Linked DNA regions of Macaca fascicularis. The protein of the gene in region 6 purifies or fractionates together with the protein of the main gene of each other region. This does not show direct contact. Links are inferred from orthologs where the notes say so. Each region holds a gene or a part of one and is shown on either strand. Other genes may lie near its edges. The genes, in order: SNRPD1, PRPF3, RBMX, SON, H1-1, SF3B1 and SNRPD2.

Region 1 (4,281 bases), on a different chromosome or scaffold from region 6:
AGGCAAAATTCATGTATGGTGGAAGAAATTGGTTGCATCTAGGGGTATGGAGTCAGAGGTTGCCTGGGAAAGGCTTGAGGAAACTGAGGTTTTGGTAATGTTACTTCTCTTGATAGGGGTTTAGGTTACAAAAGTGCTTATGTTTTTCAATAGCAGGAAATATACGCTGCATTTCATTGTATTAAGATATTCACCTCAAAGAAGGAAAACAAAAATCCATGAGTGGGATAAAAAGGGCCTGAACCTCAATGGTGGTGACCGGAACGAAAGGAGGCTACTATGGGCAGGACAAATACACAATTATCCCTCCCTAACTGAACCCAGGAACCAAATGGATTCAACTTATTTTCAGACGAATCTTTCAGTATCTGAATTCTTTCTACTTAGTGAAACTTAGATATCAAATAGTCAGATAACACGGTGTCCCTCAGTATCAAAACACACTATCTGAACCCAAAAAACAAACAGGAAAATGTGGGACACTTTTATGCAGTAGGTAAAACTGGCAGTGTATCAAATGTCAAGGACATCAGGAGAGAAAAAGTCAAGCTCACCTCCCAGGTTTTTGGTTAGGGTGACAGTGAGAATAAGGATGACAACTACCAACTGATATACAGAAATTAGTCTACTGAAAACGCAAACCAGTTAGTCAAACAATCATTTTCTGGAGGAAAAATACATTCTCTGGTAAGAAAAAAATTTTCTTTCTATATTTGACCTAAGACACAAAACAGGATTCAGTCCAGCTATTAAAAATTACTGGAAAATTGCCATAACATGCAATATCTTTAAAGGGAACAAATGAAATCCAAGGTGTATTACATAAAATTGAACTATGAGTAGATTAAGATTCAGATTAGCAGGTATGGAGAAATTTCAAAAAATGTTGTAATTTTCTTTTTTGAGACAGAGTCTCGCTTTGTTGCCCAGGCTGGAGCACAGTGGTGTGACGTCGGCTCACTACAACCTCCCGGGATCAAGCGCCTCTCTTACCTCAGCCTCCTGAGTAGCTGGGATTACAGGCGCCCGGCTAATTTTTGTATTTTTCGAAAGACGGGGTTTCACCACGTTGGCCAGGCAGGTCCTGAACTCCTGACTTCAGGCGATCCGCCTGCCTCAGCTTCCCAAAGTGCTGGGATTACAGGCGTGAGCCACCGCGTCCAGCCTAAAAAATGCACTTTAAATTCTATGACTTCCTATCCAAAATTATAGTTCAAATAAAAATACAACAAAAATTAATCTTAATTGTCTTTTGTACCAACTCCTCCCTGAATTTTTTATTTTTTTATTTTTGCAACGGAGTCTCGCTCTGTTGCCCAGGCTGGAGCGTAGTGGCCAATCTCAGCTCACTGCAACCTCTGCCTCCTGGGTTCAAGCGATTCTCCTGCCTCAGCCTCCTCAGTAGCTGGGATTACAAGCGCGCGCCACCACGCCCGGGCAATTTTTGTAATTTTAGTAGAGACGGGGTTTCACCATGTTGGTCAGGCTGGTCTCGAACTCCTGACCTAGTGATCTGCCCGCCTTGACATCCCAAAGTGCTGGGATTATAGGCGTGAGCCACTGCGCCTGGCCTCCTCCCTGAATATTGAAGGCTTTTATGTGTTATTTAAAACGTTTCAAACAAACGTTATCTACTTGTCTGTCATCCCCCTAACTAGAAAGCTCCAACAAGGATCTGCCTTTTAAAAAATACTATTACCAGCGCCCAGTAGGTAACAGGTGCCCAATAACTATTTAGCGGATAATGACAATCCTTGACTCAACAGGAAAGAAACAAGCTAAATATTTATAATCGATGGCTTAGTTATTAGAAACGTCTGCCTCTGTTCCAGGCTCAGTCTCAAGGAAAAAGACCAAAACCAAATCTACTCGCAGGTAGTTTGGAATTAGTCTCCAGAAGACTCACCTAAGTGACAGGGTCTATTTCTCGCGAAAGAAATAAAACAGAATAACTATATATCATCTGGGTAATCAGCCACAATTACGTTGTGATAATTTCTGCCCTATATTGGGAGATTTTCCTAAATAAAAAGCTTACCTTAACAGGAAAGAGGTAGAATAATCAATCATAAGTCTAAGGAGAATCAAAAGATAAACTTAAAAATCGGCCGGGCGCAGTGGCTCACACCGGTAATCTCAGCCCTTTGGGAGGGCGAGGCAGGCAGAACGCTTTAGCCCAGGAGTTCGAGACCAGCCTGGTCAACAAAGTGAGACACCGTCTTATTTAAAAAAAAACAAAAACAAAAACTTGTGAAGCCAGAAGTCCTTCTCTGATTTAAAACAGTTTGCAAACAGGTTTGTTTCCAGATAAGCTCATACAGCTTTCTAAGTACTCTTAAGTAGGGCTGGAGCTCCACTCAAAAAGAAAATCAGTAACTGTAAGGGCGAGATGTCTCCCAGGCGGCGCTGCACCTTGAAAGTCTCTAAGTCACTAGGCGGGAAGAAAAGGCTCGGCCTTTATACCAGTATCTTGGAAGACACGCGGGATCCGCGAGCGACCCAGGCAGAAGCCCAGGCCCGAGCACGAGCTGCGGGCGCAGTAAGGCCGGCCGTTAGCAGGCCGCGCACACGCGGCTTTCCCGCCTCCTGCAAATGGGAGAGCCCAGCCTTCCGGACTCCGGGCCAAGCCCTCCCTCCACAGCCCCCAGAGCTGCTTGGTCACTCCCTCACCTCACGAGCTTCATCCTAGCGGCGCCGTCACCCTTCGGGTCCGAGAGCGCACAGAATCCAACAACCGAATACTGACCAACTGCAGTATGAATGGCCGGAAGCGCCTACTCCAGGGACTCCGGTCGTAAAGGGCGCGCGGAGCACAGCAGACGCACGGCGGAAACGCCGAGGCTGCGCTGGGCCGCACTCTCTTCCGGTCGCGAGGAGCGCGACTGCGGCCCCTGGCGGCTGGAGGTTGCCTTGCCACGACTGAGGGTGTTGAGGGCTGGTCTAAGAGGAAAAGTGTCCCACAAGAGAAGGAGATTCGAAGAGGTTAAATCCAATTAATAGGACTGTCGCACTTTGGGAGGCCGAAGCGGGGGTATCACCTGAGGTCAGGAGTTCAAGACCAGCCTGGCCAATAGGGTGAAACCCGCGTCTGTACTAAAAATACAAAAAATTAGCCGGATGTGGTGGCGGGCGCCTGTTATCCCAGCTACTCGGGAGGCTGAGGCAGGAGAATCGCTTGAACCCGGGAGGCGGAGGTTGCAGTAAGCCGAGATCGCACCACTACACTCCTGCCTGGGCAACAAGAGCGAAACTCCGTCGCGCGCGCGCGCGCGCGCGCGCACACACACACACACACACACACACACACACTAGTACTGTCACCATCACGTTTCTGAATAGCAGGGCACCGTGAGTGCAGCACCTAATATAAATTCCTCACTGAACGAAAATAAGTTCTTAGAGAAGCCCAAAGGATTATGCTAATTCTGTTCCAACGCCAGGAACCTTAGCATTACTTAATGTACCTGAAGCAATTCACACAATGAGCCGGGCGCTGTGGCTCACGCCTGTAATTCCAGCACTTTGGGAGTCCGAGGCGGGCAGATAGCGAGGTCGAGAAATCAAGACCGTGCTGGCCAACATGGTGAAACCCTGTCTCTACTAAAAATACAAAAATTAGCTGGGCGTGGTGGCACACGCCTGTAGTCCCAGTTACTCGGGAGGCTGAGGCAGGAGAATCGCTTGAACCCAGGAGGCGGAGGTTGCGGTGAGCCGAGATCGCGCCACTGCACTCCAGCCTGGCAACAGAGCGAGACTCCGTCTCAAAAAATAATAAAAATAAAAAAATAAAATCACACAATGTAGCGGATTATTTTCACTTTAAGTTCCGATCTATAAGACAAACTTTTCAATCTTCATCTTTCACAACATCTCCTCAAAATTTATTTTTATTGTTTTTCTGAGACAGAGTCTCCTTCTGTCGCCCAGGCTGGAGTGCAGTAGCACCATCTTGGCTCACTGCAACCCTTGCCTCCCCGGTTCAAGCGATTCTCGTGCCTCAGCCTCTCCAGTAACTGAGATTACAGGGGGGAATCACCACGCCCTGCTAATTATTGTCTTTTTAGTAGAGACAGGGTTTCCCCATGTTGGCCAGGATGACCTGAACTCCTGACCTCAAGTGATCTGCCTCTCTAGGCCTCCCAAAGTGCAAAGTGCTAGGATTACAGGTGTGAACTTCATCAAGATTTAACACAAACACTCCCCTTACCTCTTTCAGGTTTCAGGATGCCAAGCTCACCTGGCCTTTTTCCTTATCCCACTAACTACTCTTGTTTGTTTTGT
Region 2 (2,674 bases), on a different chromosome or scaffold from region 6:
AGAGACAAAATGGGCTAAATTCTTAAATCCTATTCCACTTTACAAACTGACCCATAGCATCCTCCTTGGACTCTCCCTGTGTCCTTTTTACCCACAACACACATTCCCACATATGCACCCCTTAGAGGAACTGATTTCCTGGAAAGACTACTTAGCCAAGTCCTGAGGTAATCTGTCTGACCTGGTGATTCTCTCAGTTAAGGGATGGATACTCATTTGTCCCTCCTCTCTCCCTTACCACTTTACACATCTCCCTGCTTCATTCTGCTCCAGGAAAACAGTATTTCTCATTCTAGCTCCAGGATGAGATCAGACATTTCCACTAGACTTCAAAAATACACATCCATCTATCCATCCATCCATTCATCCATTTATATATATAAATAAATGTCAATGACAAAAAATTTTTTTTCTACAGCAATTGCTAAAAGTCTGGAAAAAAGATCACCTGGAGACCCAAACTCTAGTACTTAGGAATGTGTGAAAAATATCACACCAAGTTTAAAAATAACTCTTTAATCATATGCACATAAGGGGAATAAAGGGCAACACCAGGCTGACTCGGGAGGGGAGCAAGATATTCTCCCTTTGTCCCAGTGTCTGCTTGGCACAGTTCTGAGATCACACAACAAGTGGGAGTGGGTTGGGAAATAGAATAAGTGAGAGGACTGAAGAGACAAAGGCAAGGGGGGGAGAGGCAAGGGCTTGCAGTAGTCTCAATCAGTGGACTCTAACACAGATTCACTCAGCGCAAGGTCCCAGTAGTGTTCAGCCCCATGCTTTTTGAAATGCTCACGAGCCATGTTCTCTGTAGGACACTGTTTAAACTTCATCTCTCCAAAGCTCCGGTCTTTGGCTGTACCCTAGGAAAGAGATATGTAATAAAAACACTTCAATTTCTTATTTAAATCAGATATAATATTCTTTTATAAGACCTAGTAGGCCGGGCGTGGTGGCTCAAGCCTGTAATCCCAGCACTTTGGGAGGCCGACACGGGTGGATCATGAGGTCAGGAGATCGAGACCATCCTGGCTAACCCGGTGAAACTCCGTCTCTACTAAAAAATACAAAAAAAACTAGCCGGGCGAGGTGGCGGGCGCCTGTAGTCCCAGCTACTCGGGGGGCTGAGGCAAGAGAATGGCGTGAACCCGGGAGGCGGAGCTTGCAGTGAGCTGAGATCCGGCCACTGCACTCCAGCCTGGGCGACAGAGCGAGACTCCGTCTCAAAAAAAAAAAAAAAAAAAAAGACCTAGTAACATTTGTGAGACATGTGCCCAGCTGAACGTGATTTTATGGTTAAAAAAAAAAAACTGTGACCTCCATTTCCTTGGATATTTGTATGAGTTTTTATGAATTCATATGTATAAGGTTTTTAGATTTTTGAAATGAGGATGAGGAATTCTTTGCTCTGGTGCCTGGGTGGAACAGCAAGTCAGGAAGAACTATGGAAGGTGGAATGAGATAAACTTATCTCCCACCAGGCCTTCAGGACTAAATTTGGGCCTTCAAAAAGGCCCAAAAAACTATTTATACAAGCAGAAGGCTTTGGGGCCCAGCAACAAAGAACAACTCCGGGTGGGGAACAGAAGAAGAGCAGGTACCAGCAGAGAATTACAACAAAAAAAGACAGTACTGGGTAGAACGGCATTCTTGCCAAAGGCACCAGCAGCAATGGCAGTCATAAAGCACTACCTCAAGAGGCTTTCAGGGAGTAGACTCCAATAAGGAGGCTGGAGCAGAACTTGGCTTATTTCTGAATATGAAAGACAATTCCTGAAAACTAAATTCCTACAACATTAATACTGGTTCTCTAAGAAGCCGCGACTTTTTCAGTAAGTACTCTTCGGAGATAAATAGAAGAAAATTGAAAAGAGATGAGGGGGCTGAGATATGTGAAGATATGGGCGCAGTAGCTCATGCCTATAATCCCAGCACTCTGGGAGGCTGAGATGGGAGGATCAGTCAAGGCTAAGAGTTCGAGACAAGCCTAGGCAACATAGTGAGACTGCATTTCTAAAAATTAGCCAGGCACAGTGGTGTGGACCTGAGGTCTCAGATACTTGAGAAGCTGAGACTGGAGAATTGCTTGTCCCTAGGAGTTCAAGGCTGCAGTGAGCTATGACTGCACCGCTGCACGCCAGCCTGGGCAACAGAGCAAGACCCTGTCTCTAAAAAAAAAAAAAAAAATTGGCCGGGCACAGTGGCTCAAGCCTGTAATCCCAGCACTTGGGAGGCCGAGGCGGGTGGATCACGAGGTCAGGAGATCGAGACCATCCTGGCTAACATGGTGAAACCCCGTCTCTACTAAAAATACAAAAAACTAGCCGGGCGTTGTGGCGGGTGCCTGTAGTCCCAGCTACTCGGAGGCTGAGGCGGGAGAATGGCATGAACCCGGGAGGCGGAGCTTGCAGTGAGCCGAGATCACACCACTGCACTCCAGCCTGGGAGACACAGCGAGACTCCGTCTCAAAAAAAAAAAAAATTGATTTAAAAAAAAGATAATATGCAGGTGGGAACTTATTAAACAGAGAAACAAATACTATGGTTATTATCATCTAATTTGTATGCATAAATTGAAGAATCTGGGATAAGGCAGAAGGATACATGAAAACCTTTTTTTTAATTTTTTTTTTTTTATTGCTCCTTCAGAAGAAAAACTATTAATAGCAATTAC
Region 3 (2,539 bases), on a different chromosome or scaffold from region 6:
GACTTTGAAAAAAATACCCCCTCCCAAGCCCCAGATCGCCATTGGTAAACAACAGCTTTATTAATAAAGCCTTTAAGTGTCATACATGCTTAAAAAAAAAAAAAAAGAATCCAAGTGTTGAATTTGGAAGACTTCTAATATGCTATTGAATATTTCTTTTCTCCAAAAGTTTTTTAATCTAGAAGGCATTTCCATTGCCTTGAGGTACAGTATGTTTCACTGTACTATGAGGAAGGTAAGTGTTCAATTTCGACTTAGACGGAAAAACTAGTTTGCTTTGCTTACCATCTTTGCTGTTTCACAGGCATTTGATGCTTTAAATCTGATGTGGAATGCTGATAGATTCACTTTTTAGAAGTCATAAGCCTTTAGGAAGTTGGAGATAACTTCATTGCTTATCTATTTTCTCCTTTGCAATCAAGCTGTTCCTTTAAAAGTGAGACACTACAGAGTTGCAAAAATTTGAAACAGTAAGAGCAAGCACCTTTGCAGCTTCATGGTTGGTTTTGGCCAAACTTTTTATTTAGTATTCTGTAGTTGTTTAACACACACTTAAATGGTCTTACTGGGGGAGGGGAAAGGGGAGGTTCTTGCAGATTCCCAAGGAAATGTGAGAAAGGCAAAATGGCCAGCATTATCCATTTGCTTTTTTGGGTTTACTGGGTGAATAGCACTTTCCTTACACAGGCATGTGATTTCAGGTTTTTCATACTGAGAACATTGAGATTTCAGTTGGAAGACACTCTGAAATCTTATAAGTAGCATACCCCAACCACCCTCTAGTAGCTAGCTTGTTTGTATAGGTAGAATGATTCATCTCTCCATTTTAGATGGCTAGATGTTCTGTGGAAGATCTTAGAATTGCTTGCCTCATTTACTGGGAAAAATCAAGATAGGAAGTGGCCTTTAGGGATACTTTTACTTGGAAAGTTGCAACACTAGTACAAGTCTTAACACATTTAACATTTGCTTGTTGAAAAGCAATGTCATAAAGTCAAATAAAATTAAACATGTTTTACTTTTTGCCTCACAAGAACATTTGCTTGTTGAAAAGCAATGTCATAAAGTCAAATAAAATTAAACATGTTTTACTTTTTGCCTCACAAGAACATAAAAATTATGGAGGAAAACTTAACAGGGCATTTAAAAAATGTAACACAATTTTTCCTTTTAGTAGTCCTTGGGTAGTTATGACAGAATAGTTTCCACTTTTTGTTTCTTTGAACTGGGATTTTGGTCCAAAGTTTTGTTTGTTTCTAGTATCTGCTTCTGCCTCCCCCTCTATCAGATCGGCTTCCTCCACGGCCACCACCTCTTGGTGCTCCGCGGCTTGAACTGCTGTAGGAATCACGTGGAGGAGGGTACCCCCTTTCCATAGAAGGGGGAAGCCCTCTGTCTTGTCTGCCAACCCGATCACGACCACTTGAGTAGAGATCACTTCGGCTGCTTGAGTAACTGTCTCGACTTCCACCATATCCGTCACGTGAGCTGCTGTAATCATCATAGCGACTGCTTCCACCATAAGATGGCGGGGGCCCTCGTGTAGGTGGAGCACTACGTGAGTTACCTGCAGGGTCAATGGTCAGGTAATATGGCAACACTATAAATTGTATATATACAACATTTTAAATCTGAATTTACAGAATTCTTGTATTAAAAGTTTACTTTCTCAACTGGGTGGGAGGTTTTAAACTCTGCCATTGCTGGCCATAACAGGGATTTGCTCATCTGCTGAGATATGGAAATGGATTCATTTTAATGTTTGTTTGAAAAGACTGAAGACGGTGTGTATTTCAAGAGGATATTCCAGAGAGCTTGTTATTTTATAGTAGACACTCAGCCACTTTCCAGTGATAAGTTGCAATTTTGAACTGTAGAACTTGCCTTCATATTGCAATGGTAAATATTTGATCTTGTTAATAAAATTTTTAAATTGTATTTTCACTGTTGGGGGAAAACACATAAGGCTGCCAATTTAAGCAAGCAAAATCCCCTCCAAAGCAAGCAAACAGCCTCAAAAGAAACTTAGAAAAACAAAAAAAAAGCCCCTCACAAAACTAGGAAAAGCCCAGCTGATAAAGTTACCCCTTTAAAAGCAAGCAAACATCCCTTTAAAAAGCAAGCACCACGCAGCCTAAAAAACTGGCTCACGAACCTAAAAACTCAAGCTGGTGATACTCAAGACCCTTAACCAGTATCTTACCATAACTCTCATATGAATCTCTGTAGGAACCTCCACTTGGATGATCTGAATAGTCACGATCACGACCATATCCATCTCTATCGCTAAATTAAAGAGAAACCTTTAAGTCCCAGAGCATCAACTTTTATAGCAACTTTTCTTACATGCAAGCCACAGAAGCAGTCACTTACCTATAGCCTCTTGATGGATAGTCATCACGTGAACTGGAATGACCATAATCACGGTAAGTATAATCTCGTGGTGGTGGTGCATAATCTCTAGTATCACGAGAACTTGGGTAATCTCTGCTTGAATAGCTACAAACACAAAAGTTTTGGTTCATGCTTTTGATAAGCT
Region 4 (3,500 bases), on a different chromosome or scaffold from region 6:
AACCTTTCTACATAACCTCCCTCTCCATAGGCTTATTACAAAGGGGATTAGCTATATTGCTAAACCCAAACACTGCTTTCCCAATTCCATATACAGGTTGAGTATTCCTTATCCAAAATGCTTGGGACCAGAAGTGTGTCGCATGATTCCAGGTTTTCAAATATTTGCATTGTATTTACTGGTCGAGCATCCCAAATCTGAAGAGGCTCAAATCCAAAATGCACCAGTGAGCATTTCCTTTGAGCATCATATCAGTATTCAAAGAGTTTTCTGCTTTAGAGCATTTCAGGTTTCCAGATGTGGGGTGCTCATCTTGTATGTTACAGGAAATTTTTCAACCTTTGCTAAATAATTCCGTGCTAATACAAGCTTTTCCAAACCTATCCTGGGAAATCTGTGGTTCTCCGAGAGCTTACAGTCAGGCCATGTCCCACAATTCCAAGGAGAACGCTTCCTGAAATTGTACAATACTTACACCAAAGTATTTGGTGCAGAGCTAGTTCATTTCCAAATTCATTAACACAGATTAACTGTTGAAGTTAGCTTCAACTTACTATTTGATTACAAAGATGAAAATAAATCCCAGTTTTACATTTGCCAGCTTTTATAAATGAGGTTTAAACAAGCTATAAAAAATCATACTGAGCTGGCAAGCCTCTCGTGATTCCACTTACATTATTCCAAAGGAAGAAGTTATTTAAAAGATGCCAATTAGCTATTATCTGTGGGAACGATTAAATACTTAACAACTACATACAAGCTACATGGAAGACACAGTGCTGTCCTACCCAGGTATCTGAAGGTAAAAGGAAAATACAGTCAATGCTAATGGTTCCAAAATGCCTTAACACCAGGCAACAGGAAGAAGTAACATTATTGTCAGCAGCTGGTCTACTATACTCTAACCCAACTAAACTACTGAGCTTGTAAAAAACAACCAAAAAAAAGCAAACAGGGTTTATGAAATCTAGACTAAACAGCATTGTAATAGGAAATAACAAAAAATAAACCAAACTAGAAATAAGGATGGTTCTTTGTCAAGAGAAAATAAAATGGAAATCCTCTTTTCTAAACATGAAATCTGGTTGAATTTGGAGGTGTAATAATATAATTAGATATATACACATTTCCATATTTAGCAACTAGCATAACAAAAGGTGCCTTTTAAAAGTTCAAACTGGTGTCTCTATCCATAGTTATATAAAAGTAAGCTGCTTCTGTGAACCCCAAAAGGGGTTAATGTTTTTTCTGACAAATAGCTGTATATATACAAGAAATGCCTTCAGTTCAAGATCACTGGGTTCAAAAGGATATATTAAAGGTAATGTTAAAGGAGGTGTTAATAAACATTTCAAAAAAGAACTTATTACCTTTTCGGTCTGTCTTAAAATCAACTAGAATGGGTTCCTTATTGCCTTCTTTGTTTTTTCCTAATCCTTCTCCTTCTCTCCAGCCCATTTTTCTCATCAAAACGGCTCCCATTCCTCCAGTTACCGGGGCTGCTCTTAAGAACTGATCCTATCCAAAGAAAGAAAGGTAAAATGTCCCCATTTTACAGTTAGAATGTGGTAACAGATTCATTGTTTACTTTCTAAAAAGAGGAATCTTATTTTACTTCTAGATCTGTTATAGCAATTAAATGTAAATTCCTCTATATACATACTGTAGTGTGTATGTTCTGATTATTTTCACATTAACGTAATAGTATTTTAGAAGTTAAATAAGACAAGTAAATGGCAGTTTTGAAACAGTAGCCCTCGTGCCCCCCTCAAAAAAAAAAAAAATTAGAACACTCCTGTTTTCGTCCACTATTTAGGTTCACTGGTATCTCTTCTTAGCTTGCAAAATAAAAAGAAGGCAATGTTAAAACAATCAATGATATTAATTGTCCCAGGTGTACCTAGTTTATGAATAAAGCCCAAAAATCACTTAGAAATAGTTTAGACACTGAAGAAGCATACTGTTGTCATCCAAAGTTTTCTTCCCCATTCTACTATAAAGCAAGTATAAATATTTTACTTTAGAAAATCCCTAAAGCAGCCAAAAAAAAAAAAACTCCTGAAATTTACACAGTAACAAATAGAAAACAATCACATAAAATATCCTGTAAGTATGCCAAAATGAATTTGAATTCTTTTAAAACCTAGCTTGATGTTAAAAGACTTTTAAAAAACTCCTTAAATGTTTACATACCTAGGCCTCGGTAGCAGCAATGTTGTGAATAGTACGGCTGGCACTGACCGGGGCAAGAAGACAGCTACAAGGATTTGGCCCTGAAACAAGTTTCCATACAGAGGGGTGAAAGTTCACAGGTTATTCTGTGAACAATCATCTCTCTTGTATCCAACCCACTGAACCATAATTTCCATCAAAGCAGCAAACCACTTAATGTCCTAAGATGCACAAGTATATACATTAGCATGATCAACACTTATTTTTACAGGTTAAGAAATATTCAATGCCTCTTATTAAAGGGCATCCATGTACATATAACAGTATTAAATTCTACTGTTGATCTTTATGGCCACTTTTTAAAAATTTGAAACATGTATCTCCAGATCATGCTTTATTTTCCCCTTGTTACTAAATTTTAGGTTTTTATGTTCTCTACCAAATATATATATAAATATACATATAGCAAAAGTCATTAACTTATCAACAGAGTAAAAAAACTTTGGTAGCTCAGGAAATAGTATGTATTCACATCTCCTATATTGATAAGTTAATACTGAATGTAAAAAAAAAAAAAAACATGTTTGTATGCAGTAGTAAAACTATCATCTTTTGTTTCCCAGCTTTATAATTAAATGCTGGGGAGAAAACATGCCAATGATGTGTGACTAGACATTAAGTTCATCAAGATGCTCTGATGGAAGGAGGCAGCTGTGGAGGTAAAAACATACCCCTGGTTCAGTTCCTTATTTGGTGCAGGCCATGCAGTGTAGATGTATAAAGAGAAAGCTGATGCTTGGATATTAACTGCCTTGATGCTACACACCTAGAATGTCTTTTACTTACTTCCAGGTTCATCCGTCCCTCTTTTCCAGGGAACACTCCTAAAAAAAAGGGCAACTGTGCAGAGTACAATATAAATCCCCAGATAACCCAAGTTTCCAATTTTGTTTCCATTCCCTAGTATCGTCATCTGTTTCTTTACCCCAATGTGAAAAAGCTGATTAATTTAATGAGACCACAATAATAAACTCTTATTTATCAGGTCACATCCAAATCATCCCATTCCAGAAATAAAAGTTCTTTTAAACCAACTATTTTAAGTGTTTTACTGATTAATGAGAATACTGATAAAACTTTGCTTTTTTTAAAATCTAAAAATATACTGCAACAAACTAAAAAGAACACAGAGGATGTTGGTATTCCATGTGTTTTTTAACACATAGGTGGATGCTGGACTATACTAAAGAAGAGCCAAAATGATCGTTTGACAGGTTTTCTAAACACAATTACACATTTAATGAATAGATAATCTTTGTGATATTTAA
Region 5 (2,523 bases), on a different chromosome or scaffold from region 6:
AGGGCGTGATTAAGCCATGAATTTTGCTTACTATCCCAGAAGCATTTCTTAGGACCACCCAATTTCGGAAAAGGCTACTTTAGCAATATTGACCCAAGAACGCAATGTCCGCACTTTAACCTTGTATAATAAAAAAGCCTCAAGCCTGGGACTAGGCTTCAACCTTGGTTCGTTACAGTTATGACTAATTAGCTTGGGGTCGTGAGATGCGGGACTTCGGGCTACTTAAAAAAAAAAAAAAAAGCAAAACAGGTGATCTAAAATTCGACTTTAACTCGGTGCATTTGAATTCACCTTGCTATCTTTGATAGCCTCATCTGGCAAGAATTTACTACTCAACCTATGTTAAAGTTCCTATTGACTCTCCAAGTGATTCTAATATAAATGAGGGCGTATTGCATTTGCTTGGGGGAATTTCATCTGTGTACTACAGCTCTTTTCCCGAAGTGTGTAGGTGGCTCTTAAAAGAGCCGTTGGGTTAGTAGAAGTTTCCAACCGAATTTACTTTTTCTTGGGTGCCGCTTTCTTGGGTTTGGCAGTCTTTGGCTTCGTCACCTTAGCCTTGGCCGCCTTGGGTTTTATAGCCTTAGTTTTAGCAGGGCTTTTAGCTACTTTCTTGGGTTTTACAGCTTTGGGTTTTTTGGGACTCTTAGAGGATTTCCTTGTTGCCGCAGACTTTTTAGCATTTTTTGGAGTCTTGACGTTCTTTTTGCTAACCCCCGTGGCCTTTTTGGGCTTTTTAGACGCACCCGTTGCCTTGGTTTTTGCAGCCACCCTTGAAGCGCCGGGCTTGGTTTCCACGGAGGATGCCTTCTTGTTGAGTTTGAAGGAACCCGAGGCGCCGGTGCCCTTCGTCTGCACCAACGTTCCCTTGCTTACCAGGCTCTTAATACCCAGCTTAATGCGGCTGTTGTTCTTCTCCACATCGTAGCCTGCGGCCGCCAGCGCCTTTTTAAGAGCAGCCAATGACACACCACCACGCTCCTTAGAGGAGGAAGCAGCCTGCACGATCAGCTCTGACACGGAAGGGCCAGCAGGCTTTTTCTTAGTGGCCACCGCAACCTTAGCAGGTTTCTTTGCCTTCCTGCTAGCTGAAGGTTTCTCAGGAGCAGCAGAAGCGGCGGGAGCGGGAGGCGCCGTTTCGGACATGGTGACTAATACAGCACACCAAGTAAACTGGTATAAACCTGACCAAGCAGGATGCGAGAAAAAAAAGGCCCCGACTCAGCCTATTTATAGGGTGGGACTGCGCAGTGATTGGTGCCCGTCAGTGCCCGCCCCTCGCACCCTAGCGCCCCCTGCGCTCTGCAGAGGGTTTCCCCCAGTCTCAGAGAGCACCTGGGGGCCTCTAGGGCCTATGGTCCCGCTCCCCTCAACGCAAGCAAACACACCGAAAAAGCCGCTCCGATTGCCTCATTGTGAAGGAAATTGTAGGCCGACTGCCACCTAGTAACATCAGAGGGTGCCGCTTGTCTCTCAAAAAGCAGCTCTGTTTTAGGGAGTAGGTTGATGGGGAGCGGTTTGCAAATGCAGCCCCACAAGCATCCAGGGAGTTTTATTAGAAAGTTTTAGAGGTCCGTTGCCAGATATGTTAGTTTTTAATTTGCAAGAAATGTAAAATACAGTGTTTGAATAGTTGGGGAGGAAGAGGAAAGTGCGGGTTTTAGGCCGTGTTAGGGCTAGTAGTCATCAACTCGATTACATTTTCTGGCAATGTTTTAGAGCGATGTGTCTCGCGAATACCTTTCACGTCAAAGAAGAATGAATCGTAGACAACACCAGAATTCACTAACGCTGCAATTAATACTCAAACTGCAAGTGTGGAAACGTTTCTGCACTTGCAACTTACTTCCACAGTCCAATGTGGGATGCACTTCAGGAATTTCCAATGCCCTTTTCATCCATACAACATGCCCCAAATGGGTGTTAAGGTTTACAACCTGTGTTCCATGTCAGCACATGCAATGAGCGCACCATGACATGGTGAACTCATTGTTTTATTCAACAAAGATTTATGGGCCTCACAAACCTGCGAAAGGCGTTAAATGCTGGGTCCAAGAAACTGGTTCCCCGACAGGCATTCTGCTGGGGAGTTAAGTCTCCTTAGTGTGAAAACAAACGGTAAGTGTAAGCACACCCTGGGGATAAGATTTTATGGTAACCTCTCTTTAGCTTGTTTGTGGCTGTTAAGAGCATTTCAAATTATCAATAAGCTAAAACGATCTCACATTGCCAATCAGAGACTCAGCTAACGGGAGAACAAAAAAACTATTAAATCGACATCCACTTCTACAATCCTATTCTGGATAACCCCTTAACACAGCGGAGAGTGAGGGAATGCGGTCTATTTCCGTTCGTGCTGTTGTAGTTTTTAAATAAGTCCGAACTGTGCTAAGTAACCTGAGCTTTTTCCCTTTTTCTTCAAACAACGTGTCAACCAAATAATTGTAGTAGTCCCAGATAACTATTGTACCCATCTTCTTTACCAGTGTTTCCTACGTCTATTTTATTGAGAAGCCACGC
Region 6 (3,958 bases):
AATGGCTCCTCACTGTACCCAAAGTAGACATGGGGTCTTTCTGCAAGAGGAATACACCCATACCATTTTCCTCCCTTCAAACGACCATAATGACCCATGGTATGGTTAGTATTTGGGTTGTAGGTTTATCACATGGCGAGGTACTCCTTTCTTTGTGATGGCTCTAACCTTGATAACTACCTGTTTTCCTGGGCTGCTTCCGGGACCCATCTTTCTGAGCCTTTCTTTTTCATTGTCGAAGTCCAAGATCAGTGTGACGGTACAAGGTTATGATATTTTAATTGATGTCTAGGAAAACAGAATGCATTCTGATCTATTAAAATTCCTGATTTAGGAATACCGTCTACGATTTAAGAGAAACATTTAATGAATGTTAATAATGACGATGAGTGGTTTTCTAAGAACCCATAAAGTTAAAAGGCTTTAAAAGGGTGGTAAGATTCTCACTGTGCAACTCAATAACGATTTGTGAGGCTCAACGAAATTCTTACCCAAATTATTTGCAATTATTAAACAGAAATAATGAAAAATGACCTTGAATTACAGGGCGAGAGATGAGACTGTTAAGACTGTCTTTGTAACTAAGCACTGTAAAGACTGAGACAGCTGCAAGGTGAAGTTTTCCTCGAGTTCTTCTGGTGAATTGTGGGAAAGGGATTGAACGTCTGAGGTCTCTTCCAGCTCTGAAACCGCAGTGTTTCGTACAGTGTTCATTTTTTTTTATGGGAGGGGTCTCGGGGTCTTGCTCTTTCGCCCGGGCTGGAGGTTGGAGTATAGTGGCGCGACACGATTACGGCTCACGGCAGCCTTGAACTCCTGGGCTCAAGCGATGCTCCCACCTCAGCCTCTAGAGTAGCTGGGACTCAGTGTCTGTTCTTAACTCCCCTCGTAGAACCCACTTTCCTCCAAGGCAAAGTTACTCACTTAAGGACCTTACGGCTTAGCCCGAGGATTTCCTGGGTCACCACGCAGGCGGCTTCAGGTCCCAACCGTGACTCCTCCCCCACCCACAATGCACCTCGCGGTTCCCTCTAGGTGGCAGCTGTGTCACGTGTCACCCGACGGAGCGCGCTTCTGTTTGGCGCACGCGCAGAGTGCAGCCCCCAGCTATTTTTTTCTCCGTGGCGGCGGCGACGAGCGGAAGTTCTTGGGAGCGCCAGTTCCGTCAGTGTGTTCGAGTGGACAAAATGGCGAAGATCGCCAAGACTCACGAAGGTAAGCGGTCTTTCCCTGCTTACGTGTTTTCTTGGTTGCTAGCTTACTAAGAGCCTTTCTTCCTAGGATTCTGCCTTTTCCTATGGTTTCTTTCATGGGAGCCGAGCCCGCGTTTCGGGGCCAAGGGTCGTCTCCTCCGCGCCAGCGGCGCAGGCCACTGCCCCGCGTAATGGCGTCCTCCTCTTACACCCCCGACAGGCGCTTTGTTCGGTGTTTGGGACCTGCTACTTCAGAGTAGCTTCTCTTCTCCGACCAGAGGGCCTTGTTTAAGCGGCTTCCTCAGCAGGATTCGTGGGCAAGGGATCTGGGAAGCGGGCGTGGGGAGAAAGTCTCACTCGCCTGTCGACAGTGTCGTCCGCATAGTTTATGCAGAAGAGGGTCAGAAAAGCACTGAAATACGGCATCCGCTTTTCCGGCAGGACTGAATCGAATTTAGTTAAACCGAGATTCCATTACTCCTGCCCCCGTGTGTGTTCAAGCGTCAGTGTTACTTGCTTATTTTTCTTGCACGAAACGATTTGGGGATAAAATCTGGTAGTAGTTTTCCCTCCCTTAGTCACTTTTAGTATAATATTGATCTTTTTCTTTGGAGACTGGTTATTGGAAGAGCCAGATGGAAAAGGAAAAGATAAATTACTTTCATTAACGGCCGAAGCTTTCAAACTAGTTGATCGTTTTATGGAATGCAGAGTGTGCAAATTAGGAAAACGTTGGGAATAGACTGGAGTTCATTAGGAAATATCCAGAGATGACAGGAAACGGGATCACTTTTCAGAAAAGACGAGGCATGGGAAGTTGGAACTGCATTCTTTGATTTCTGACTTGGAATCCGAGATTTTCACTGAGAACGAGACTTCTAATTCACTTTTGTTTCATATGTTCTTTCTGGGTATTTGGCTCAGCATTAGTCTGTGAAAGGTAACAGACTGAGGCCATCCAAAATTTTACAGTCAGGTAGGGGAAACAGATGTGTATGTCCTCATTCTCTCATGAGGCCAAATGCATGCTTAAGTAGAAGAACAAACAACATGTTCTGGGAACCTGGATAACGGAATTATTATGCTTAGGGTTATTTCACTGAAGAGGTTACATGTCCCTGTTTTAAAAGGATCAGTTTTAAATCGGGAAGGACATCTGAGCCTGAGAACATCTTGTAACAAGGTATTGAATCGTGAAAGGTGTGTTTGAGTAGTAGTCCACTGTGGCAGGAACAGTGGGTGCAAGGAGAGAAGAAATAAATGAATCTGTAAAGGTTGGTTTAGGACCAGAATATGAATGGCTTTGAATTTTTGGGTCACTCGGAGGACCTGAAGTCCAGCTTTCTGCTGTTTATCAGACATGCTAATGAATTGGCAATGGCTTTAATACCAGTATTATTTTAGGTATTTAGGATTTAAATGCTCTCTTAGTGTTCTTAGGCCTTATTATTTTTCTTTAGACTATCTCAAATATAACCTTTTGCAAAATAAGTAGAAAATATAAAGATGTGCTGTTTTTGTTCATTCAGGAGGTTATTCATTTGGGGATATTGATAGTATAGCTTTGATATTTATTGGTAGCATAAGATGCTCTCAAACAGGAAAATCAAAGTTTTGATCAGTTTTCCTGAATTTTTTAGAAACCCAGCTAAAAGCTTTGGTCTATTGCTATTCATTGTCCAAACTTGTTATTTTTGAGATTATTCTATCAATGTGAATTAAGTGATGCCATAAGAAAATAGCAGAACATTCAATACTTGAACACTGTCTGTGCCCATCCCTATGGGTTATAAGTCAGGGGATAATAAATGTTTAGTAGAAATACACATAATACTGACATAGCTTCTTGCTTCCTTCCTAATGACATTTTCTTGGTGGAACTCTAATTATTCATGGTCCATCACTGTTTTCTCTTGTTAAGCCATTTTTGATAAACTGAAGCAGAATTAATGCTTTTAGGGGCAGTGCTGCCATAGCACTCAGTATAAATGTTATATTACTTAGAGTAGTCTATTGTGTTAAGATTTTCTCTTCTACTTAGCTCCAAGATTGAGATAAACTGGTAACTATTTATTTATTTTGCTGTCATATTCTTTCCAAACATTTATTTTATTTATTTTTTTTTTTTGAGATAGAGTCTTGCTCTGTTGCCCAGGCTGAAGTGCAGTGGTGCAATCTCAGCTCACAGCAACCTCCACCTTTTAGGTTCAAGCTATTCTCCTGCTTCAGCCTCCAGAGTACTGGGATCACAGGCATGCGCCACCACACCTGACTGATTTTTGTAGTTTTAGAGACAGGGTTTCGCCATGTTGGCCAGGCTGGTCTCAAACTCTTGACCACAAGTGATCCTCCCACCTCGGCCTCCCAAAGTGCTGGGATTGCTGGCATGAGCCACAATGCCTGAACCCTTTCAAACATTTCTATTAGGATCAGGCCTCACATCCTCTTTAACCAATCTGATTATATTTTACCCTGGCCAATGTGGCTTATGCTTTCCAGGATTGAAATATAAAAAGAGCTGGACTTACTCAAATCAGATAAAATCTTTTAGATCTTTCCGCATATTAAATTGTGTCAGGTGTATGGTTATGAATATGCATAATCTTGCCATCCAGCAGTTCTTCAGATACTGCTGACTTTGGCAAACAAATAGGGAACACATATTCTTCTCTGTTTTGTAAGGGGAAAAATGGGTTAATCAAAAATCCTGTGTATCAGCTTGTTTTGCCACTAATCCTTTGAATTAGATTTTTTGGTACATCACC
Region 7 (4,007 bases), on a different chromosome or scaffold from region 6:
TTCCTGACCTCGTGATCCACCCGCCTCGACCTCCCGAAGTGCTGAGATTACAGGTGTGAGCCACCGCGCTCAGCCAGACATTTTCAACTCTGCATGTCTCAGGTCGGGGTCCAGATCACCCAACCACCGAAGCCTACCCTATCCACAGTGTTCCCCATCTGCCTTCTAGTTCTCTGGGCAAAAACTCTTTGTCAACTTGATTCCTCTTTTTCCCTTGCATCCTACAATAAATCTGTAGGAAGTGGCCATTTCTTACCATGGCCTCAGCCTCTGTCATCTCTGACCTGGAATCTTTCCGGTCTCTCTGCCTCCACCCATGTTCCCTGACAGTCTGTTCTCCACAGAGTGGTCTGAGGGGGCTGTGCTAAAACCTAAATCATAACATGTCACTCTTCAAAGCCCTCCCAGGGGCTGGGTACGGTAGCTCATGCCTGTAATCCTAGCACTTTTGTGGTGCAGAGGTTGCGGTGAGCTGAGATCGCGCCACTGCACTCCACCCTGGCAACAGAGCAAGACTCCGTCTCAAAAAAAAAAAAAAAAAAAAAGAAAAGAAAAGAAAAGAAAATGTCTGTTAGGCATCCAGCTGGTGATGATTCACAAGGCGGGTGGATCACTTGACATCAGGAGTTCGAGACCAGCCTGGCCAACACGGTGAAAACCCATCTCTACTAAAAATACAAACAAAACAAAAACAACAACAAAAAATTAGCCAGGCGTGGTGGTGCACGCCTGTAATCTCAGCTACTTGGTAGGTTCTGGCAGAAGAATCGCTTGAGCTCAGGAGTCGGAGAGTGCAGTGAAGCGAGATCATGCCACTGCACTCCAGCCTGGGCGACAGAGCGAGACTCTGTCTCAAAAAATAAATAAATACAAATTAGAAAATACAAAAATTAGGCTGCGTGTGATGGCTCACGCCTGTAATCCCAGCACTTTGGGAGGCCAAGGGGGGTGGATCGCCTGAGCTCAGGAGTTCCAGACCACCCAGGGCAACATGGTGAAACCCTGTCTCTACTAAAAATACAAAAAAATTAACGAGGTGTGATGGCGCATGCCTCTAGTCCCAGCTACTTAGGAGGATGACGCAGGAGAATCGCTGGAGCCCCAGCAGCGAAGGTTGCAGTGAGCCAAGATTACACCACTGCACTCCAGCTTGGGTTACAGAGTAAGACTCCATCCCCCACCCCAAAAAAAAAAGTAGCTGGGCATGGTGGCGCATGCTTGTAATCCTAGCTACTTGGGAGGCTGAGGCAAGAAGATCACTTGAACCCAGGAGACAGAGATCGTGCTACTACACTCCAATCTGGGTGACAGAGCGAGATTCCATCTCAAACAAACAAAAGAAAATCCTCCCATGCCCCCCCGCCATCTCAGTGTAGAAAGTAAAACCCCGGCCAGGCATGGTGGCTCACGCCCGGCCAGGCACGGTGGCTCACGCCTGTAATGCCAGCACTTTGGAAGGTCGAGGCAGGTGGATCATTCGAGGTCAGGAGTTTGAGACCAGGTTGGCCAACATGGCGAAATCTGGTCTCTACTAAAAATATAAAAGTCAGCTGGGCATGGTGGTTGGTGCCTGTAATCCTAGCAACTCGGGAGGCTGAGGCAGGAGAATTGCTTCAACTCGGGAGGCAGAGGTTGCAGTGAGCTGAGATCGCACCATTGCACTCCAGCCTGAGCAACAGAGCAAGGCTATGTCTCGGGAAAAAAAAAAAAAAAAAAAGATTTTTTTTTTCCTTGGGAACAAAAGGTTTCATTCACTGATGTATCCTATGTGGCTTAAGCAGTGTCTGATACATAAACATTCAATGTAATATTTGGTGCACTAATAAATGAGCAAAATCATGCCAATCACTCGTTATCCCTTTAAGTTGTGAATTAGGTCGAAAACGCATCTGTCTCCAGCTCAAATGATCAGGAGAAGTCCCTTATTTCAAATCATTATTTCTAAAAGTCCTAACTTCCCTTCCCCAGTATTCGTTTTGATTTCTTTTGTTTCGTTTTGAGATGGAGTCTTACTCTTCGCTCAGGCTGGAAGTGTGCAGTGGTGCAATCTCGGCTCACTGCAACCTCCGTCTACCGGGTTCAAGCGATTCTCCGGCCTCAGCCTTCCAAGTAGCTGGAATTACAGGGGCCCGACACTACGTCTGGCTAATTTTTGTATTTTTGGTAGACACGGGGTTTCACCACAATGGCCAGGCTGGTCTCAAACTCCTGACCTCAGGTGATCTGCCCGCCTCGGCCTCCCAAAGTGCTGGGATTTACAAACCTGAGCCACCGCGCCCGGCCTCCCCCAGTATTCGTAAAATCGCTGCCCCTTAACATTCACTTCAATAGGACTAATTATCTAGGACCCCCCTCCGTTATCGTTTAAAATATGTTTTTCATAATTAAAAAAAATTTTTTTTGTAGAGACGGGGGTCTCGCTATGTTGCCTAGAGTAGTCTCGAAACTCCTGTGTTCTAGCGATGCTCCCGCCTTGGCCTACTAAAATGCTGGGATCACAGGCATGAGTCCCCGCGCCCAGCCCAGCGCGTTATCTGATAAAGCTGTCCCCTCTCCCGAAGTCACGATGCGTCAAAGGCCCCACGCCCGTTCTCAAACTCATCAGGAGAAACGCAGGACGCTCCATCCCTAAAACATCTGCCCCTGTCCCCCACCCCGCTCTCTGCTCAACCCTTCCCACCCTCAATCGGTCAAAATTTCCACCCTCAACCTCCTTCCCGCCGCCTAAGCCTAGCCCGGCCTCACATGATGGTCACTAAGCTCTCCGTTCACTCCCGTTTCCTCCGCGTTGCTGCAGCCTGAGGCGAGAGAGGCGGGACTTCCTCTTCCTGCGACCCACTTCCGTTGGCGCCTGCGCAAAGCCAACCAGTAAGTGGAGGCGTGGCCTGTTGCCATAGCATTGCCCACCAACGGTGCACAATGAAAGAATAAAAGCCTCGGATAGGGGTTCGAGGCCAGTCAGAACCACACGGGGCAGATGTTTATGACAATGAAGACAAAAGGAAAGGCGGTCTGATTCAAACCGTTTCGTTTAAGAATGGTACAGGTTTAAGGAGGGAAATGACAAACTATTTCCAAATGCCCGCCGGCCGTGACTTCGGGGGCGCGGCCTCCGCTGAAGCCAATCCGCTCCTCGCTTCGGAGACAGGCACCGCCCCTCTTCCCTCTGGGACGGGTTATTGACGTATCTACTGATCTTTCCGACCCTGCGCCACCAATCCCCTGCCTACATCCGGGAGGGGCATGGACCTGCGCCCGAGAGATTGAATATTTTCCACGATCAAACGCTGCTCATTGGCTTTCCCCCTCCGCTAAGGCGGAGCCTATCTCTTTTGCGCTCCCTTTTGGGTCGTGCCATTCTCAGAAGAACCAACCCCAATACCCAAGGGAGGCCGGGAGGCGTGTCCTCAGGACCGTAGCTCTTATTGGTTTCGCTGCTCGCTGTGGGGTGGGCAGGTGCAGCCGCTGCTGTTGCTTATTGGCCCACTGATTCCATGGGGTGGAACTTGGCTGGGCCTAAACTCAATCGTGGTCTGGTACAGGTTTCAGGGCATAGCTGCCATGCGTTCCGGGGGCCGCGGGCGGCCCCGCCTGCGGCTAGGGGAACGTGGCGTTATGGAGCCACTCTTGCCCCCGAAGCGCCGCCTGCTACCGCGGGTTCGGCTCTTGCCCCTGTTGCTGGCGCTGGCCGTGGGCTCGGCGTTCTACACCATTTGGAGCGGCTGGCACCGCAGGACTGAGGAGCTGCCGCTGGGCCGGGAGCTGCGGGTGAGGCTGGGCGGGGACCCGGGCACCGCGGGGACCCTCATTCCCTCCCCGCTGTTACCCAGGGTTGACTTGGCTTTAGCGTACGGCCCTAACCGCAGATGCCACAGTCTTCGTCATCTGAGCGCATGACCCTTACCAAAGGAATAAGGCTTCGGGCTGGTTTTACAACAGTAGCTTCCTTTTATGAGGAAAGGTCTGAAATAGTAAGACGAGGGGGTTCAGGGTTCTACGCCTTTAGT

What was found.
Region 1: the proteins of SF3B1 (region 6) and SNRPD1 fractionate together in Homo sapiens (co-fractionation; 5 studies listed by BioGRID and IntAct, with this or other methods). This does not show direct contact. The link is inferred for Macaca fascicularis from reciprocal best matches to the Homo sapiens genes SF3B1 and SNRPD1.
Region 2: the proteins of SF3B1 (region 6) and PRPF3 purify together in Homo sapiens (co-immunoprecipitation; 3 studies listed by BioGRID and IntAct, with this or other methods). This does not show direct contact. The link is inferred for Macaca fascicularis from reciprocal best matches to the Homo sapiens genes SF3B1 and PRPF3.
Region 3: the proteins of SF3B1 (region 6) and RBMX fractionate together in Homo sapiens (co-fractionation; 3 studies listed by BioGRID and IntAct, with this or other methods). This does not show direct contact. The link is inferred for Macaca fascicularis from reciprocal best matches to the Homo sapiens genes SF3B1 and RBMX.
Region 4: the proteins of SF3B1 (region 6) and SON purify together in Homo sapiens (co-immunoprecipitation; 3 studies listed by BioGRID and IntAct, with this or other methods). This does not show direct contact. The link is inferred for Macaca fascicularis from reciprocal best matches to the Homo sapiens genes SF3B1 and SON.
Region 5: the proteins of SF3B1 (region 6) and H1-1 purify together in Homo sapiens (affinity purification with mass spectrometry; 3 studies listed by BioGRID and IntAct, counting the BioPlex papers as one, with this or other methods). This does not show direct contact. The link is inferred for Macaca fascicularis from reciprocal best matches to the Homo sapiens genes SF3B1 and H1-1.
Region 7: the proteins of SF3B1 (region 6) and SNRPD2 fractionate together in Homo sapiens (co-fractionation; 5 studies listed by BioGRID and IntAct, with this or other methods). This does not show direct contact. The link is inferred for Macaca fascicularis from reciprocal best matches to the Homo sapiens genes SF3B1 and SNRPD2.

The regions. Positions count from the first base shown.
Region 1 is NC_088392.1:68,147,116-68,151,396, forward strand, and holds the start of SNRPD1 (small nuclear ribonucleoprotein Sm D1), read right to left. Parts: upstream 2,801-4,281; 5' UTR 2,685-2,800; coding exon 2,671-2,684; intron 1-2,670. UniProt on the Homo sapiens protein: Plays a role in pre-mRNA splicing as a core component of the spliceosomal U1, U2, U4 and U5 small nuclear ribonucleoproteins (snRNPs), the building blocks of the spliceosome.
Region 2 is NC_088375.1:110,908,746-110,911,419, forward strand, and holds the end of PRPF3 (U4/U6 small nuclear ribonucleoprotein Prp3), read right to left. Parts: intron 864-2,674; coding exon 717-863; 3' UTR 501-716; downstream 1-500. UniProt on the Homo sapiens protein: Plays a role in pre-mRNA splicing as component of the U4/U6-U5 tri-snRNP complex that is involved in spliceosome assembly, and as component of the precatalytic spliceosome (spliceosome B complex).
Region 3 is NC_088395.1:143,024,301-143,026,839, forward strand, and holds the end of RBMX (RNA-binding motif protein, X chromosome), read right to left. Parts: intron 2,500-2,539; coding exon 2,374-2,499; intron 2,287-2,373; coding exon 2,204-2,286; intron 1,568-2,203; coding exon 1,257-1,567; 3' UTR 501-1,256; downstream 1-500.
Region 4 is NC_088377.1:13,348,670-13,352,169, forward strand, and holds part of SON (protein SON), read right to left. Parts: intron 3,057-3,500; coding exon of another isoform or gene 3,027-3,056; exon of another isoform or gene 2,783-3,026; intron 2,274-2,782; exon of another isoform or gene 2,194-2,273; intron 1,519-2,193; coding exon 1,371-1,518; intron 1-1,370. UniProt on the Homo sapiens protein: RNA-binding protein that acts as a mRNA splicing cofactor by promoting efficient splicing of transcripts that possess weak splice sites.
Region 5 is NC_088378.1:146,912,123-146,914,645, reverse strand, and holds H1-1 (histone H1.1), read right to left. Parts: upstream 1,208-2,523; 5' UTR 1,150-1,207; coding exon 502-1,149; 3' UTR 501-501; downstream 1-500. UniProt on the Homo sapiens protein: Histone H1 protein binds to linker DNA between nucleosomes forming the macromolecular structure known as the chromatin fiber. Histones H1 are necessary for the condensation of nucleosome chains into higher-order structured fibers.
Region 6 is NC_088386.1:93,049,546-93,053,503, reverse strand, and holds the start of SF3B1 (splicing factor 3B subunit 1), read left to right. Parts: upstream 1-1,158; 5' UTR 1,159-1,187; coding exon 1,188-1,215; intron 1,216-3,958. UniProt on the Homo sapiens protein: Component of the 17S U2 SnRNP complex of the spliceosome, a large ribonucleoprotein complex that removes introns from transcribed pre-mRNAs.
Region 7 is NC_088393.1:53,756,366-53,760,372, forward strand, and holds the start of SNRPD2 (small nuclear ribonucleoprotein Sm D2), read right to left. Parts: upstream 2,801-4,007; 5' UTR 2,748-2,800; coding exon 2,746-2,747; exon of another isoform or gene 2,014-2,745; intron 1-2,013. Other genes in the region: QPCTL (glutaminyl-peptide cyclotransferase-like protein), read left to right, coding at 3,562-3,768. UniProt on the Homo sapiens protein: Plays a role in pre-mRNA splicing as a core component of the spliceosomal U1, U2, U4 and U5 small nuclear ribonucleoproteins (snRNPs), the building blocks of the spliceosome.